2 linked regions of the Lytechinus pictus genome follow. The protein of the gene in region 1 interacts with the protein of each later gene in a pairwise test. Links are inferred from orthologs where the notes say so. Each region holds a gene or a part of one and is shown on either strand. Other genes may lie near its edges. The genes, in order: disks large homolog 1-like and ATPase family AAA domain-containing protein 3-B-like.

Region 1 (8,768 bases):
CCTTTTCATATATTCCTACATTGCTATTACCCCCCCCCCCCCATCCCTGCCGATTCATCCCCTGTCCATTCCCATTTTTTCACCCTCCCTCAAGTTCCTTTGCACCCATTTCAATCACTATTAAGTCTCATCCTTATCACAATTTCAATTAGGCTAAAATCACCGTTCCCCACTGGGTTAACAGCCAATGAAGTAATGGTTCAAATTTCACATCACATTTTTTCCTTCTCCCTTTTCTTCCCAGGATTTGATTTATTTTCAATATCCATTTTCTTACCCTTCTTTGTGCAGTCTTGTGGGGCACTTCATGATAGCTTACAGCGCTCATCTTACAAAGAGTTGCGATTAATCCGATCGATCGCAACTATGGCATGCCAGCAAAGTCAACATATGAAATGCTTGTTTGTTAAAAAAAATTATAGATATGATGCATATCCATAAATTTGTTGATTTCTTGACAATTTGGGGTGTTCTCCTTTGTTTACAAAGTACATTTTGCAAATTTCCTGTAGAAAAAATTATGACACTGGTGGATTTCCATAGAGTTACGATTGATTGGATCAATCCTAACTCTTTGTAAGACGGGGCCCTGGTGTGCTTGAGGTACTATTTTCATCCATCAATATCATCTTGTGAAAAATCAATGCCTGGCAGAACTTTAAGATGAATGCTAAATAATTTTGCCTAAACCATAAGCTCCAGAGACTTTGATCTTCAACAAAAGTTGAGGTTCTTTTGTGGAATTTTGACTTTCTTTTAATGCGAGAAAGGTTGTTGTCACATATTTCTTTTAGTTTTGTCCTTCAATATGTTTGTTGGTCATGCAAATTTCAAGAAAAAAAATCTTGGCTGTAATCCATACATGAATATGCCCGTCTTTGTACAGTATTCATTGTGCATCTTATCCAAGTCTGCAGACACAAGAAACCATACGTGGATCTGGATATGTAGGACTGTGTACAAGATTAAACCCCCAAGGATATAGTGGGGGTTGGTTTTCAACTGCTTTGACTCAAAAACAGGAAGTGGCATGCCAAAAGAAAATCTTCGAGAATATTCAGCCGTTTAAAGAAAGCAAGTGGATGAAATATTCTTTATGGAAATCTCAGTCTCTTTACTTGAAGAGAAAGTCAAGTAATGGTAGGATAATGTTCCACTTGTTAAAATAAATCAATAATTGTAAAGAGTATCATTAAAATGCCACTTCTTGAAGTTCATTTTTCCAAGTTGTCTATTTGATTTTTTTTTTAATTTGAAAATTTGAAATAAATCAAGATTTAAGACGTGTATTCACACTTCATAAATTAGCTGTCACTTTCAGATACATACAGACTTTGGAATATCTCTATATTTCATTTATATCTTGACAGCTTGCAAAGAATTTTTTTATAAAGTGCACACCTAGTTACCAATAATGCGTATATCATTTTCATTTATTTGAATGCAGGATAAAAGAGCGTTGTCAATTAAATGTCTTGCTCATTGGCATAGGTGCCGCGGCCGGGTATCGAACCTTGGACTTTCCATCTATAGCCAGGCGCCTTAGATCACTCGGCCACGGCACCTCCACTTGAAAAGAATTGGGGAGATACCTGTTTATGGACAGATAGGATGACACAGAAACGGTTGACAATGAATTAAACAAATCTTTACTTCATCTACAAAGCTTCAGATTTCAATCTGGGATTTTCCCTTGTCACTGATGATTGGTTTTTTTCTCTCTTTTCTCTTTTCTCGTTTTTACCACTATAATCATTGTATTTTCATCTATTCCCTAAAGATTTACTGTACTCAGTGCTTTATTTTTTTGTCAATTTGAAATTTGAATTATATATGTCCCTGTTAACCAAGAATCTCCCACTCTGCACGCTGAATTCAAATAAATTTTGAATAGTGATAGTGATTTCGATGACATATTCAATTTGATTTGCTCCATTTTATTCGGGCCATTCAACTCACTAATTTTTAGGGTAGATTTAGCCTTTACACACACATTTTCACCAGACTAGGGCCCATATGATATTTTTATATTGAAATACAACCACAAATTACTTGAATAAGATCACTTTCCATTTTAACATAGCATTAAAAAAATTATATTAAGAGACGAATAGCAGATAATTTGATAACACTATAGACCATCATCGAGCATCATATTAAAAGAATACACGGGACTCAGAGAAGTATTCTTTTTATGAGTTGACCTAATAAAAAGTAGGCCTTGCCTGCTTCTAACAGTATGCCACATTTCTATGCAAAAGTTCTTCAGAGAATGAGTTAAAAATATCACATTCTTGGGTTTTCTTATGGTTATCTACCCCTTGAGGTTTGCATCAGAATGCCAAGAAACAAACAAAAATGTCAAGCCGTGACTAATAAACATGTAAAACCCACAAACTCTGGCACCTTACGGGCAAGAGAAGACTATGGAGAATTAGAAATGCCTGATGCAAAGAATGATGTGATAGCTATCTTGGATGCAAATGTCTTCTAATCCGTATTATTTTACGCATCGAATAGAGAACACGGTTGACTCCCTGAGCTGATTGAAAAACAACTTAAGATGTTGTTTAGTGAGTTGTAGAGTTTGATCGTATGTCATTAAGAATTCACTGTACACGTGTTGTTATCTGCTTCACTAGATTGATTACTGCATTTTGGTCTCTCAGTGGGCTCCAATATTTGTCGTTGTATTTCTGCCTTTGTTGCAGATTAGCATTAGAGGTTGCAAGGCTCGATCAAATTGCAGGTGTCGAGATGATTTGAAAGGGTTCTGTTATGCATTGCGGAACGTGAGTAGGATGTCTGATAAATTGCAATATTCCTAATGTGCTCCTAGTTGATGCATCTTGTTTATACAGTGGTATACAATTTGAATCATTTATTGGTTAAGCAAATTGTATTTAACTTGTGAGAATTCAAAACAGTTGAATGTTGGTGAATTCTGCGTCTCATATAGCTCATCATTATCATCATCATTACCAAAATCATCATCATCATCAACACCACCATCGTCATCTTCATTATCATCGTCACCATCATAATCATCATCATCATTACACCTCCACCATTTTCATTATCACCATGATCATTCCATTATCACTATCGTCTTCATCACCACCACCATCATCAACACCTACACCACCGCCACTGCCATAATCATCATTGTCTTCTTCACAGCAGTCATTACCACCATCTTTATCACTGTCATCACTATCACCACCATCATCATCATGATCACCACCACCCTCATCTCTACTATCACCATTGTCACTATCATCATCACCACTGCCACCATCATCATCGTTATCATCATCACCATCATCATCATTATCATCATCACTATCATCATCATCATCACCACCACCACTGCCGCCATCATCATCACCATCATTATCATCACCACCACCACCATCATCATCAACATCATTATCATCACCACCATCTTCATCATCATCATCATCACCACCACCCATCATCACCACCTCCACTATTGTCATCACTCTACCATCACCACGACCTCCAACACCACCACCATAAGCATTCATTCCACTCCTCCAACGCCCATGGCAGCCTTAAACCTGACCTCCGATCACCTATCGATCAAAACCTGATTAAGGTCGTGCCATGCATGTCACGTCACCGAGGCTAGAAGTATATAAACTCGAACTAAAGCATCTTGCAAATAGCTTTTAGCGTTTACTTCAAAATTTTTGAATAGTCACTGAAAATGAGCTTGCTATCTGAGAATAAAGTTAATAGTGTATCTTCTTTTTATTGATAATTTTTTGTACATTGCACTACAGAGCTAAATTTAAACAACACTACAGCATCAAGTTACCTGTTTAGGGGATACAGTACAAGTAAAAAGAAAATGATAAGAGATACAGACCAACAATTGTACAGACCTTGTCAGGCAGACACAGAAACCAGGAGAAAGAATTATTTAATCAATACAATACAGCGTATCATTAAATAGCTTTTTTGTTCAACCCCTGGTAATTAGCATACACAGTCTGCACTCTGCAGGCAGAAGTACCCTCTATTATGAGGCCTTGTGTCTTTAAATTTAGCAGCTTTTTAAATGAAGTAAAATTAATGTAATACCCTATCCTTGCCGCAAGCTTAAATCTCTGCGTTATGATTCCAAATGGTGATATATAGTCCATGATATGTTGTTTACTACCTGCTGATGCAATTTAGATGTTTAATGAGGAAAGGAGAAATTTTTTCGACCATGCGGGAAGAGCGGGGCTTTTATGTACTTGAAACCAGCCAATATTTGTTAGATGTAGTTGTTATTTTCATGGTACGGCTAATTGGATCTGATGAGATTAGTTCTGCATTTTGTGGTGGGACTTATCAAAATGTTTCTCCGATGTTTATTGAATGCTTGGTTTTAAATATGAATGCTTATAACTTTGCTCATTTAGGCCTATGTGTATGTGTCGGAAAAAATTGTGTGTTGATGAGTTCAAGAAAAGGGTATGTGAATACTGATTGTGATTATGATATTGGTGGTATTGTTTGAGGTATGTATTATGATTGCATAATTTGGTAAAAACATTTTAACTTAAGAATCGGATGATTATATGGTGATGAGGAGTTGTGATGTTGATAGTGGCATTGGTGGTGGTGATGATGTCAATGTTGATGTGATGATGTTATGATGATGATGGTTGTGGTGGTCATGATGATGGTTGGAATGAAGATGATTATGGCAGTGAAGGTGACAGTTATGATAATGATGATGATGATGATGATGATTATGATGATGATGATGATGATGATGACGATGGTGGTGATGGTGGTGTTGATGATGATGAATACGACGACGATGATGATGATGATTATGATGATGATGACGATGATGATGGTGGTGGTGATGATGATGATGATGATTATGATGATGATGACGATGATGGTGGTGGTGGTGATGGTGGTGATGGTGGTGGTGGTGTTGTTGATGATGATGACGATGACGGTGGTGGTGATGGTGGTGGTGGTGGTGGTGGTGATTATGATGATGATGATAATGATGATGAGGTTATAAAAATGGCATTGGTTATGAAAGTGGTAGTAATGTAAAAATAAAGGAGAAAGTTGTTGTAATTGTTGATGCTGTAAATGGCTGATAAATTGTGGTAATGGCGATGCTGATTATTATGCTAATCTTGAGTTTAATAACTAGTAATTCACTATCATAAGTACTCCCCCATATTAGTGTTTTTGACATTGACAGTAGTAAATAAAATTTCCTTCCTTTTTCTTCTTTTCTTTTCAGCAGCCCTCACCTTCATCACCAGTGTTATCAGACAGATTAGAGGGAACAGGAACCCCGACAGTAAGTACAAAATACCCGCTGCTAAGACTTTAAAGGGGAACTTCACCATAACGCTGTGTTTATTTCAATAAAAACAGACAAATTTTCAAAAAATAGTGGTGAAGGTTGGGCAACAATCCATCAAAGAAAACAAGAGTATCCACCATACCAACAACATCACTTTCAATTTTTTTTTTTGAGAAAATGGCATTTTAAAAGATTGACATCACATGGAGGTGTCTTTACCATCAGAGATCACAAGCCATGCATTATGCATTGATCAAAGGGCATACAACTGTTGCTTTTGACTTCAGGAAAACGGTGTACCTCCACCTACCATACACAGCCTCGTGCAAAAACCTAATGCAAGATCCGGGCACAGAATTTCAGTGCAATCCACCAAATTTATGATTAATCACATTTTCTTCCTCCATTGTGGTTGGGTTTGTTTCCGTTTCCCCCGGCTTCCTGCGAAGTTTGATTCTGTAAGCGACGCCGTCACACCATCGTTCATTTGATTTGTTCAATAGGTTGAAACATTTGATTTCATTATACCAGAACAGCCGATTACACCATGTACATTTCACATACTCCAATCATGTGTATTATGTACACAAGATTTAGCTACTCTGATACAAAAAGCACATTTCAGGGGAGTGAGCGATGTAGAATTTAAAAATCCATGTGAATTAGTTGGGTTGTTTTTTCGTATCACGCTCTGACAATGAAAATTGCTAACAGAGCTATGCAGATGTAGGAATGTATTATATGATACCCTGAAAAAAGTCTAATTACTTTATTTTCCTTGCTTATTGCCAACTAGACATACTTTATAAACTGCAAACCCTTGTATTATTACTGACTAATAAGTCTTTTTCTATATACCAGAAGAAATTAGCACATATTTAAATGTATTAATACAAATAAATCATTGGTAGTCATACAAGTTAGATTTAAATGACTTTGGCATACCCAGTCATAATACTGAAAAATTATAAAATTGACTGTACTCTCTTTTGGAAAATTTTGGAATTGCATAATTTGGAATTTTTCAGGAATTTGAAAAGAATGAGTGTTATCTAGAGTAGATATGAGGTTATTTTTCTTTTTTTTTCATGAACCAAAAAATTGATATCAAGTTTTATGTACGGGAACAGCGGAGCATATTTTCATTCGATTTTTTTGTAATGATAAGTTGATGGCAATTTTCTTTACCTTTTCTCATTTTTATGAGGAATTGTTCCTATTTAATATATATTGTCTCTTCTTAAACTCTTGGTTTTTTTTTGTGTCTCCTTTTTTTTCTCTCTCTCTCTATCTCTCTGTCAGATACAAAATAGAGATACTCAGTGGCAATATGAGGAAATCACATTAGTACGGGTAAGTTTACCATGTTTATTCCTTTTTCTTCTTCCTCTCCTCCCATTTCTTCATCTTCTTCCTAGTTTTTGTCTGTTCTTCTAATGCTCTGGTTTTTTTATCTTCACTTCGTTTTCTTTCTTATTTATCTTATATTTTATCCCCCATCTTCATCATCCATCTCATTCCTTTTCTACTTTTCTTTCTCCTCCTTCATTCTTCTCCTTTTTATCCTTCATCATATTACTTTCATTCTCTCACTTTCTTTGATGTCCTAATGCATTTTTACCATGCTCCATGTCATCTCCAAAGATTAATCACAATCTTATTTTTTTTAATTCAATTGTGAAAAAAAAATCAACCATCACCTTTATATAGGCAACTCCAAATAAAAATCCAATCTGCAATTTAAAAGGGGGGGGGTAGAATTCCTGATGCATGTCCAAGACAATACAGAAAGTCTTGAACAGAGACCAAATCCCCAATTTGAGCAAGAGAAGCTAGACATCGGAGATACAGATTAGTCTCTTTTTCCAGACAGTGTTATTGTCTTCATACTAATCAGAGACCGACTTCTCATGCATCTGTTGCCCCTGGGTTTTTTTTCTTTTTCTACTTATTTTTGAAAGGCCATCAGATAGATTCCATTATTCATAGAGTTATCGATTTTCATAACAACCTCCATCTTCTCATCTTGAATGTTATTTTTAGACCTTCGTTTAAACTCAAATATGCACAAAACCTCAAGCTTGGGGATCAAAATATGACATGGATAATTCCATCTGGTATGATATGCATAATTAAGGCCTCGAAGAAGACATCTGTAATTATCTTTTGCATCGTTTGGCCAGGAGAGAACTAAAAGATAATAGCGAGATGAAATTATTCTGCATTTTGTGGATTATTCCGTGGAGTTTGCTGACATTTTGTCATGAAGAATTTGATCAGGTTTATTGTGAAATTGAGGAGAAATTGTAACACGGGTAATTTCCGAGTTGGTTTAGGGCAGTTTTTTCTGGTTCGAGATGACTTTAGTTGAGCTTCCTTTTTAATAATCTGAAACAGAAAGTTTGTTTTATTAGAATTTTTTTATAAAAATTATGTTTTTTCCTAATTTATCTACTCAATATTGGATTTTCTCTGAATGTTATTGACAGGATTGTCTCCCTTATATATTATCCATGTATGTGTAACATGATACATAAATTTCACATCTTATTTTATTCCACCCCCTTGGACCCCCCCCCCCTCTTTTGCAATTCCGTTCTTTCCCCCCCCCCTCCCCCTTCATTATTCCACCCATTTATCTATCTCGCTCTTTCTCTCCTCTCTATCTCCCCATAAGCTTATTTTCACTCCCTCTTTCTATCATTCACTCATTCATTAATTTCCCTGCAGTGATTTCCCTCCTGCAAATACAATTTTTCAATCACCTTTTCTTATTAAGTATTGATAAATACATTTCTCCTTGCCCATCGTAAAAAAAAAATCATTTCTACATTCATCGACATCAAACCATCGCCCTCCTCCTTTTCCTTTCGTCCCGAGTTGCGAGACTAAACCACTGTGGAATTTGAAGATTGGGAAGAGTAAATAACATTTCATAAATGCCTCATGCACATGGCCATTTCTCTATTTTCTCATTTCTCCATTTTCTCGTTCTCGTCCCCAAATTACTAACCATCACTCTCCCATCTTCCGCCAGCACCAGAGTCGATTTTTCTAAACTCCAGTCTAGTCAATTTTGCCAGCCTTGAGTCACAGGCATCCGACATATGTCGCACATTTCTTGTTGATTTCCCAGGGTAGTTTCAATTTAGCCTCGCTTCCCTGTGCTATGAAACCATCCATCAGACCGTACTGTCACAAACGTATCCCAAACCAACATTTGATAGCCCGGCCCAGCACTGCGCCTTCGTCGAGCGTAGTAATGCATTACCGGGCAAAAAGAATTCAATTTTCAAACAGTTTGGGAATACTTTGACATGTGTATATCTTCTCATGGCATGGGCAGTGAGACTTCGTTTTGCAAATTTTAGGGGAAATCACTTTTTATTGTATATGGCTAGATAATACATCAAATGAT
Region 2 (8,940 bases), on another chromosome or scaffold:
GCAGCTAGGCAAAAATAAGTCTCCTGGTATCGATGGACTTACCTCTGAATTTTATCATGTCTTTTGGCCCATGCTCAAAGATGATTTTCTCGAAGTTCTTACCTCCTCTCTTGAATCTGGATTTTTACCATACTCTTTTAGGAGGGCGGTCATTACTTTACTCCCCAAAAAAGGAGACCTCGCTGATATTTCAAATTGGCGTCCCGTCTCCCTCCTCAACACAGACTATAAAATTTTTGCTAGGCTGCTTGCCAGTAGGCTAAAATCATGCATTGACCATGTTATTGGAAGAGACCAAAGTTATTGTATCCCCGGTCGTTCTATTTATGACAACATTAATCTCATTAGAGATATTTTGTTCTATGCAAACACTGATAATATTTCTTTGGCTGTATTGAACTTGGACCAGAAAAAGGCATTTGATAATGTAGATCATGTTTATTTATTCAATGTTATGAAACGCATGGGCTTTGGAAGTCATTTTATATCTTATATACGAATTTTGTATGAAGGGTCTGAAAGCCTTATTAAAGTGTGTGGATCCCTGACAGCTCCCTTCCCCTTTGAGAAAGGAATACGACAGGGATGCCCTCTCTCAGGGTTGCTATATACTCTCGCCATTGAGCCTCTCCTGAACTCACTAAGAGAGAACGTGTCAAATCATGCATTAAATATCCCTGCTATTAACAAACCTTGTGTAGTATCTGCATATGCAGACGATGTATCGATATTTGTTACAGCCGATGCTGGCTTTGAATTAGTTGAACAAACTTACAATACGTTTAGTCTGGCCTCTACTGCATGTTTAAATACAAAAAAATCACAAGGCCTTTGGGTCGGCCGTTGGAAAGGGCGGAATGATAAACCCCTCAACTTTTCTTGGAATAGTGAAGGTCTCCCCTTTTTAGGAGTTCATTTAGGGAACACGTTTAATTATTCTAAACAAAACTGGATTAAATGTAAAGAAAGACTTAATAAGACTTTCATTTCGTGGTCTCGTTTATCGAACTCACTCTCATTTAAAGGCAAGGTATTGATTGCAAACCAGCTCGCTGCATCAAAAATATTTCATGTTCTTGCAGTTCTTTCTCCTCCTGAAAATGTATTAAACGAACTTCAGAATTTAATTGTGAATTTTATCTGGTCAAATAAGCGGCACTGGTTAAAGAAAGAAGTGTTGTATGAAAAACCTGACGAAGGAGGGCTGGGGCTAGCTTGTCTCCAAGCTCGTGTTCTAACTTACAGATTTTCGATTATTCAACGGTTTCTTTCGTTAAATTCTCATCCAGTAAACGACTTTATGGCTCATTTTCTGAGACAGTATTGTAAATTAGGATTTGATTACCATTTGTTCTTTACAAGAATTGATCCTAAGTTTTACACAAGTCTTCCAGTTTACTACAGTGAAGTTCTGCGAGCTTGGTTGACATCTGGAGCTCGAATTGTGACACAATCCCTCTCTTTCAGCCATGCAATTAACATGCCCTTAAATAGTTTTCATATTATTGATGCAATTGATGTTGATAATTTTTTTCCGACGCGCCTGATGGCATGCGGAGTGAAACTAGTTCGCCATTTGATAAACCACTCAACTGGTCTTTGGATTGAGAGTAGCTGTCTCCAAAAGAACTTTCCAAGAGGACTTCGACAACCATCATCGCGTCTCATCGAACGTGAAACATTACTCATTCGAACTGCACTCTCTAAAGTTTTTCCTACATATTTTAATGACTCAGGCTGTCAACACGAATACTCTGATCTATTGTCTGCTCCAGTTACTCCGATCAACTTCACTCTGGCTTCTTCCGAAAATGGACTTACTGCTTCTTCTAAAGCCATCTACAGAATCTACAGGAAAGAACTAGATAATACGACAATCTCATCAAGCTCACATTGGCATGATACTGGATTTCTCGATCCATCTACAAAAGTGAACTGGCTATCTATCTATCAATTACCAACACCTAAAAAAGAGGCTGATATTCAATACAAGCTCCTTCACAATATTTTACCGTCGCTCACTATACTCCATCATCTTAATACAGACATTTCTTCTTTTTGCGGATGGTGCGGAGAACCAGGAACCATTCAACATCTGTTCATCGAATGTAAAGGAATCCAACCCCCTCTCAATCTTCTTCATAGACTGTTGAACAATCTCCTCCCCTCTCTCAAACTTAATTTTGACCTATACTGGGCACTCATTCCGCATGCCAGAGGGCGTGACAGAAAGGTTATCCGCCTTGCTAATTTCCTTATTATTAGTTTAAAAAGTACCATTTATTTTATGTACCGTACCTCAAATTTCACCGATCCACTTATTATTTGGTTACATCGTCTCAAAAACAGAATACTCTATGAATTTACTTATTACAAATTATGTTCTAATATTGATGCTTTTTCACGTAAATGGTGTATGAATAGATTACTTTTTACAATTAACGAGGGCAGCATTGCATGGCTCATTTAACATTTGGTTTTATAACTCTGTGCTTGTAATCAACCTGATCTCATTTGAATGTTTATGTCAAACTATTCTTTTATTATATACCTGACTTTTGTGATTATAATTTGTAAATAAAGTTTTCATTTGAAAAGTCAAAAAAGTCTTTCTTTCTTTCTTTCTTTCTTTCTTTCTTTCTTTCTTTCTTTCTTTCTTTCTTTCTTTCTTTCTTTCTTTCTTTCTTTCTTTCTTTCTTTCTTTCTTTCTTTCTTTCTTTCTTTCTTTCTTTCTTTCTTTCTTTCTTTCTTTCTTTCTTTCTTTCTTTCTTTCTTTCTTTCTTTCTTTCTTTCTTTCTTTCTTTCTTTCTTTCTTTCTTTCTTTCTTTCTTTCTTTCTTTCTTTCTTTCTTTCTTTCTTTCTTTCTTTCTTTCTTTCTTTCTTTCTTTCTTTCTTTCTTTCTTTCTTTCTTTCTTTCTTTCTTTCTTTCTTTCTTTCTTTCTTTCTTTCTTTCTTTCTTTCCCTTCCCTTTTTCTCTTTCTCCTTTTCCTGTTTTTTTATTTTCCCGGTGAAATCCGCAAGGGGGGGGCAGCTTGCCCCCTGCCCCCATCATACGTTTGCTTATTTGACCAGTCTTTTACAACCACCTTTGAAAAAAATATAAAATAAATCAGTCATTTTTTAGTGCACGCGCGGCCCGAGTCCAAATCTGAAACCCCCCCCCCCCGGAGAATACCGCCCCTGCATGATGATAAATTTGTCAGTATATAGGGCCTAAATGGCATACTTGCTGGATTTTCTATTTTCATCAAAATTGCCTTTTTTGTTGGGATCGATGGACTTGCCCCTAATTCTAGCCCGATTGAGTAAAATATATGGACCCCCACACAGACGGGTGGGGGGTGTCAAGCACTGGCGTAAATCCGTGTTGATGGGTGGGGGGGATGACTGAAATATTTTGGCATTTTTTGCAATCATGTTTTTAGATATGCAAGGAATTGTCATTGATATGTCCACAGTGGCGTACCGTGGGTCACGGCATTGGGGAGGGGGGGGGGGGGGCACCAGCAAAATTTTTGAATCACTAAGTGAGTGCGCTAAGTTGCCAGTTATACTGACCTAATAGAGACATTTTAAAGACAATGTCATTAAACGGATATGTAGCTCACTGATCAAATAATGCGAGCGCGAAGCGCGAGCTGAAATTTTTTTATATTCACACCTAAAAGGGGACAATATAATCAAATTTGTGTAATCATGATAGGTACCTGTCTCGCTAAACAATGCGAGCGCGAAGCGCGAGCTGAACACTTAGATAATTCAGACCTGAAGTGGGGCATTCTAAGGTTTCTTTGTAGGAATTAACTAGGACCATACGTATTTCATTAACCAAATGATGCGAGTGCGAAGCGCGAGCTGAAAATTTTTGATATTCAGATCAGAAGAAGGGACATTTTAAGGACTGATTTTAGGAATTCATGAAGAGCAGACATATCTCACCAATCCACTAATGCAAACGTAATCACGGACAGGAAATGTTTCATATATACGAAGACCTTAACATGGGGCAATCACTTTTGAGTCATGAAAAAGAAGCATATGTCACTACATAAAACAATGATAACTCAAGTGCTAGGAAATATATTTGGTTTATATTGACTTGAAAACGGTATGTTACAGGATTATATATCTCGTTAAACAGACAATGCGAGCACCAGGAACAATAAAAATAGACGTAGGCCCTGGGCAAATTATGTTTCATAAAGTTGTAATATAACATAATTATAATATAATATAACATTATAATGAATAATATAACATTATAATGAATAATATTTTCTTCTTTCCCACTACGTTTCTCTTCCTTTCTCCCTCTTTTCTCCTTTTCCCCCTTTCCTCGTTTTTGTTTTTGGTCAGCCGATGGGGGGGGGGGGGGGGGGGGGATGTGCCCCCCATGTCCCCCGTAGTTACGCCACTGTATATCCATATGGCAAATACCCCTCCAATATTATTATCTTTTTTACCCCATGATGGTAATAATGGTTTTATTAGAGATTACATTAAAAAAAATTTGACATTCCATCTTCATCCCTTCCCAAAGACCCCAACATTGATGAATTGGAAGAAACAGGGGTTTCTCTTCAATGTTATAATAAGGACATAAGTATTTCGTTTGGAAATGGTGAAATTGCTCTTTATTTGCATTTTATGATTTAATAATATTGTTTTATTTGTTAAGCGGTATTTTAGGAAGAATTTTCACCAATAAAACAATTATCTCTTGTGATTTTTTTTTTCATTTCTTTCGTAAAAAGTGGGGGTTGTGATTTTTTTTTTCATTTCTTTCGTAAAAAGTGGGGGGGGGGGATGTTTGTACAGGCCATTCCCCCCCTCCTCGAAAGTGGGGGGGATATATCCCCCCATCCCCCCCGGGATTTACGCCAGTGGTGTCAAGTATCGATCTGAAAAATATAGTCTCCAAATTATAGCCATATACATTTATGATTTAATATCACAACCAAATATAGGGAACGAAATAATTTTGAATAAACACGAAAGTGAAAGTGTTCGAACAAAGTACAGTATTTTATTGCCTTCGTGGTTCGCCTCGGGCTTTCTGCGTTAGGAAGAAAAAAATCTTATTAGCTTAGATTTATTGATCAAAGACTAGTCCAGTTTCAACTTTGACCTCAGCAATACACACACGTGCATTGGCATTACATCAGCGAGAATAGCCTGTAAAATCTCTTCAAAATGTCGTGGTTGTTTGGGATTCGGAAGGACCAGCCTCTGCCAGAGGCACCTCAACTTCCAGTTTTACAAGATGGAGGATCGGGAGCTTCATCAGGAGGAGGAAAAGATGGAAAGGGGGACAGTGGATCAGGAGGAGGAGGAAAAGGAGCCGGCTACAGCAACTTCAGTAACTTCGACCCGTCGGGCCTGGAGCGGGCGGCCCAGGCTGCCCGCGAGCTCGACAAGTCCGGTGAGCGAGTAGGATTATTTGGGGATCAGGGGCCCGTTTCTCAACACCTGGACAAGTTAGTCATATCTTTATCCACCAACCACGGAGTTAGTTCCAATCTTACTAAACCTGTTTCACGAAAGGCTTCCTAACTAGAATACCTTGATATCGATACTCTCGGTAAAAAGAGCAGACGAGACGTAGCCTTACTTAGTCACAAAATAGCATAATTTTCAAAAAGAAAAATTATGACAAAATTGCAAATATTGTGATAAATTGGGGAATACATCTTTTCAAAATAATAGCACATGTAAACTATGCATCATACATACTTAGACCATGAAGATTGGAGCATTCAATTGCTGAGAAAATTAAATTATGAATAGTTTATTTCATGACTAGAAAATCACATGTGGACGTAGACCAAAAGCTTCGGTCTCTGTTATGTTGGTTGTTCAGCTGAACTCCGTTGGCTTCACTCACCAAATACAGAGACCGAAGTTCTAGCGCGATCTGTACAGGGGACTCAATGGCCATATGTTTATGTACTTAAGATCGGATAAAACGGGGAAGTGAATTTGCGCGACAGCCGAGGTAAGTCACTGTTTTTGTTCCTTTTAACTTGATTTTTCTCAGTTTTTTGGCAATTAATGCCAAGAGGGAATATTAATTTGCATTTTGGTCGCGTTAATTTTCAAAATTTTTATTCATTAAAGACAACAATTGAAGAGCCCCGACGGGGGGATTTTGCATTGCAAGTCCCCTAATGGTGGCTGCACGCTAGCGAGCCGTCTGTGTACGAGGAGAAAAAAAAAAAAAAAAAAGTTAAAAAACTCCTCGAAACAGACGGCTGCCAGCTGTCTAATGTGGACGTTGAGATGCCTGGGTACCCCCGTGACATCGAATTTTAATAGTTTACGAAAATAAACCATAACGGTTTTCTTTTTAAAATGATGATAATTATACGCCCTTCTACGATTCAAAACATCATCAAAATATAGTTTAACAAAACCAAACATAAATATTTGATACCGAAACATACGATTTGACAAATTCTATGCATAAATTAGAGATAGAATTTATCCAAATGTTAATAGGGGTCTGAAAACAACAAATACGAGTCCAGTTATGGATGGCCTGACGTGGTAGAATCTTTATCGATTAAATCATTTTACTATTTCAAAGTGAATGGTTTTGTGGCGTTTTACCAACAGTTCTTTGTATTAGAATTATCATTGAATGCGTTATCCCACTTGTTTTGTGATGTAATTTCAACCTCTATGATTGATTACGTAAGATTATTATTTTCAAATTTCTTGGCACTTTTGCATGTCATAGTCTACACACGTGATGCCACTACGTCATTAAGAAAGAAGTTATGACAGGTTCGGAGGTGTCATAAATATTTAGTGAGGTTGTTGTACCCGATCTTGGTAAAGAGGGCTTCGTGAAACGGTTAGCGGACAAGTAGCTCACTATCTCCGATTTAGTCAAGAAGTTAGACTTATGACGGTGTTGAGAAACGGGCCCCTGATGTCCACTGCACTGAAAGCTGTCTTAAGACTTACATGTAACTTAAGCAGATAAGAAAATTATCTTTGTCTGTGACCACAATTTTAGTATTTCCTATCATTACGTTAAACTTAAAAAATAAAATGATTTCTTGGGAGTTTCATGTAGGCCTACCTAGCCTATTTTGTGTAAATTACTAAAATGTGATTTGTTAAAAAATTGTGTTGTAAATGTAAGTTACTAAGTAACGGATTGTGTAGTGTGCGCTGGCCTAGAGCACCATATCCACGTGGATTGTGCTCAAGCCACTGAAGAAAGTGAAAGGAAGGGTCATAAAGATGTCTTTCCTTGAGCCAGGGTTACACCAAAATCGAATCGTCCCTAATATAATAATTTCAGACCAATTCTGCAAGAATATGGCCTGATTCGGATGGAATTAGTGGATTCGAAACCTATTCGTCTCCCTGAATTAGAGGTGAATAGGTCCTGAATCAGAGCAGAATTGACTGCCAGAATACCCCAAATGCCTCCCAGAATCTATCGGAATTTCCTCCGAATATATCCTGAAAGTGGCCCGATTTAAATTTGTCGTGGCCAGATACGAGTCTTTCGGAGAGTATTCGGCTGGTTTTAAACATTTCAAAATGAGCTGAATCTCTCCACGAATGTTCCCTAATCCCTCTCGAATTTACTGGCATTCTGGGAAGGAGAAAAGAGTACTCCTGAATACATTGTAGATACATGTATTTGGATGGATTCACAGCTGATTCGGTTTCGGTGTAACCCAGGCTTAAACTTTAAAGGAGAATGAAACCCTTGAAACCAGCTGAATCCATATCAAAGAGAAAAATCAAAGAAACATATTGTTGAAAGTTTGAGGAAGATTGATTGAATAATAAGAAAGTTATGAGCATTTGAATGTCAATATCACTAATGCCATGTAGATCCTCCCATTGGCAATGCGACCAAGATCTGTGATGTCACACACGTACAACTCCCTCATTACTTTAGTACTTATTTCACTTATATTCTCACTTTTATAGAGTCTATCACAAGGTGAGGTGTTCTCTTTATGAGAGGACAAGTACAAAGGTTTCACAACATTATATCATTGATAAATCGTTTGCATATGATTAGAATGAGCAAAAAGAGAAGTTTTGGGGTATATTTTCAGTGTCCAAAAGGGGAGAGTTGTTCATCTGTGACATCATAGATCTTGGTCGCATTGCCAATGGGAGGATCTCCATAGCATTAGTGATCTAGACATTCAAATGCTCATAGCTCTTCTATTGCTAGTCCTATTTCACTCAAACTTTTGTTGATCTTATTCTTTGATTTTTCTGCTTTCACAAAAGCTAACTTGCTCCAAGAGTTTCATTCTCCTTTAACCAATGTAACTCCACACATCTATTTATATATCTGAAAAAAATAGAATGTTTACATTCCTTGAACTTGACAATGCTTATTGACTGTTTTATAGCGAAAAATTGAATACTTGAAATGAATATATAATGCTGTATAAGCTGTTATTTTCGCGGGGGTTTTATTTTCGTGGATTTCGCGAATCGCCGATCGGCCTTGAATTTAATAACATGCGAAAATATTGACACATTTATTAGTCAGTGCCAATATTCCCAACAGCAAAGCTTTCCTATTGAAAACATCCTGTGTAGTGAAAAAGTTGAGATATGCATCTCTATGTGTACAAAAAAACTTAGAAAGTCCAGTAAATGATTTAAAAAGTTAGCTAGAATTTCACTTTTTTTATTTCTCAAACAAAATCATAGCCTAATCTATTTTCTTACATAATTTCTATCAATATTTATTCACTCACTGTGATATTAGAATGTATTTTCCATGAAATGATTTGATTTTATTGTCATCTGATTGACTCTATACACACGTATTGGCAGCTATTTGCATACTCATTAATATTCATAAGTCACATGACCAGAGCTTTCAGAAGTGTAAGATTCTGTTCACAAAATTCAACATTTTTGCACTTATATCAACTTTTTGAGCAATGA

What was found.
Region 2: the proteins of disks large homolog 1-like (region 1) and ATPase family AAA domain-containing protein 3-B-like interact in a two-hybrid assay, tested with the Caenorhabditis elegans proteins (3 studies listed by BioGRID). The link is inferred for Lytechinus pictus from reciprocal best matches to the Caenorhabditis elegans genes dlg-1 and atad-3.

Annotation. Positions count from the first base shown.
Region 1 is NC_087260.1:18,802,404-18,811,171, forward strand, and holds the start of disks large homolog 1-like, read left to right. Parts: upstream 1-5,287; 5' UTR 5,288-5,344; intron 5,345-6,652; 5' UTR 6,653-6,703; intron 6,704-8,768. UniProt on the Caenorhabditis elegans protein: Essential multidomain scaffolding protein required for normal development. Recruits channels, receptors and signaling molecules to discrete plasma membrane domains in polarized cells. Required for proper embryonic elongation.
Region 2 is NC_087258.1:24,497,480-24,506,419, reverse strand, and holds the start of ATPase family AAA domain-containing protein 3-B-like, read left to right. Parts: upstream 1-5,113; 5' UTR 5,114-5,193; coding exon 5,194-5,422; intron 5,423-8,940. UniProt on the Caenorhabditis elegans protein: Essential for mitochondrial network organization, mitochondrial metabolism and cell growth at organism and cellular level. Important during development for the up-regulation of mitochondrial activity during the transition to higher larval stages.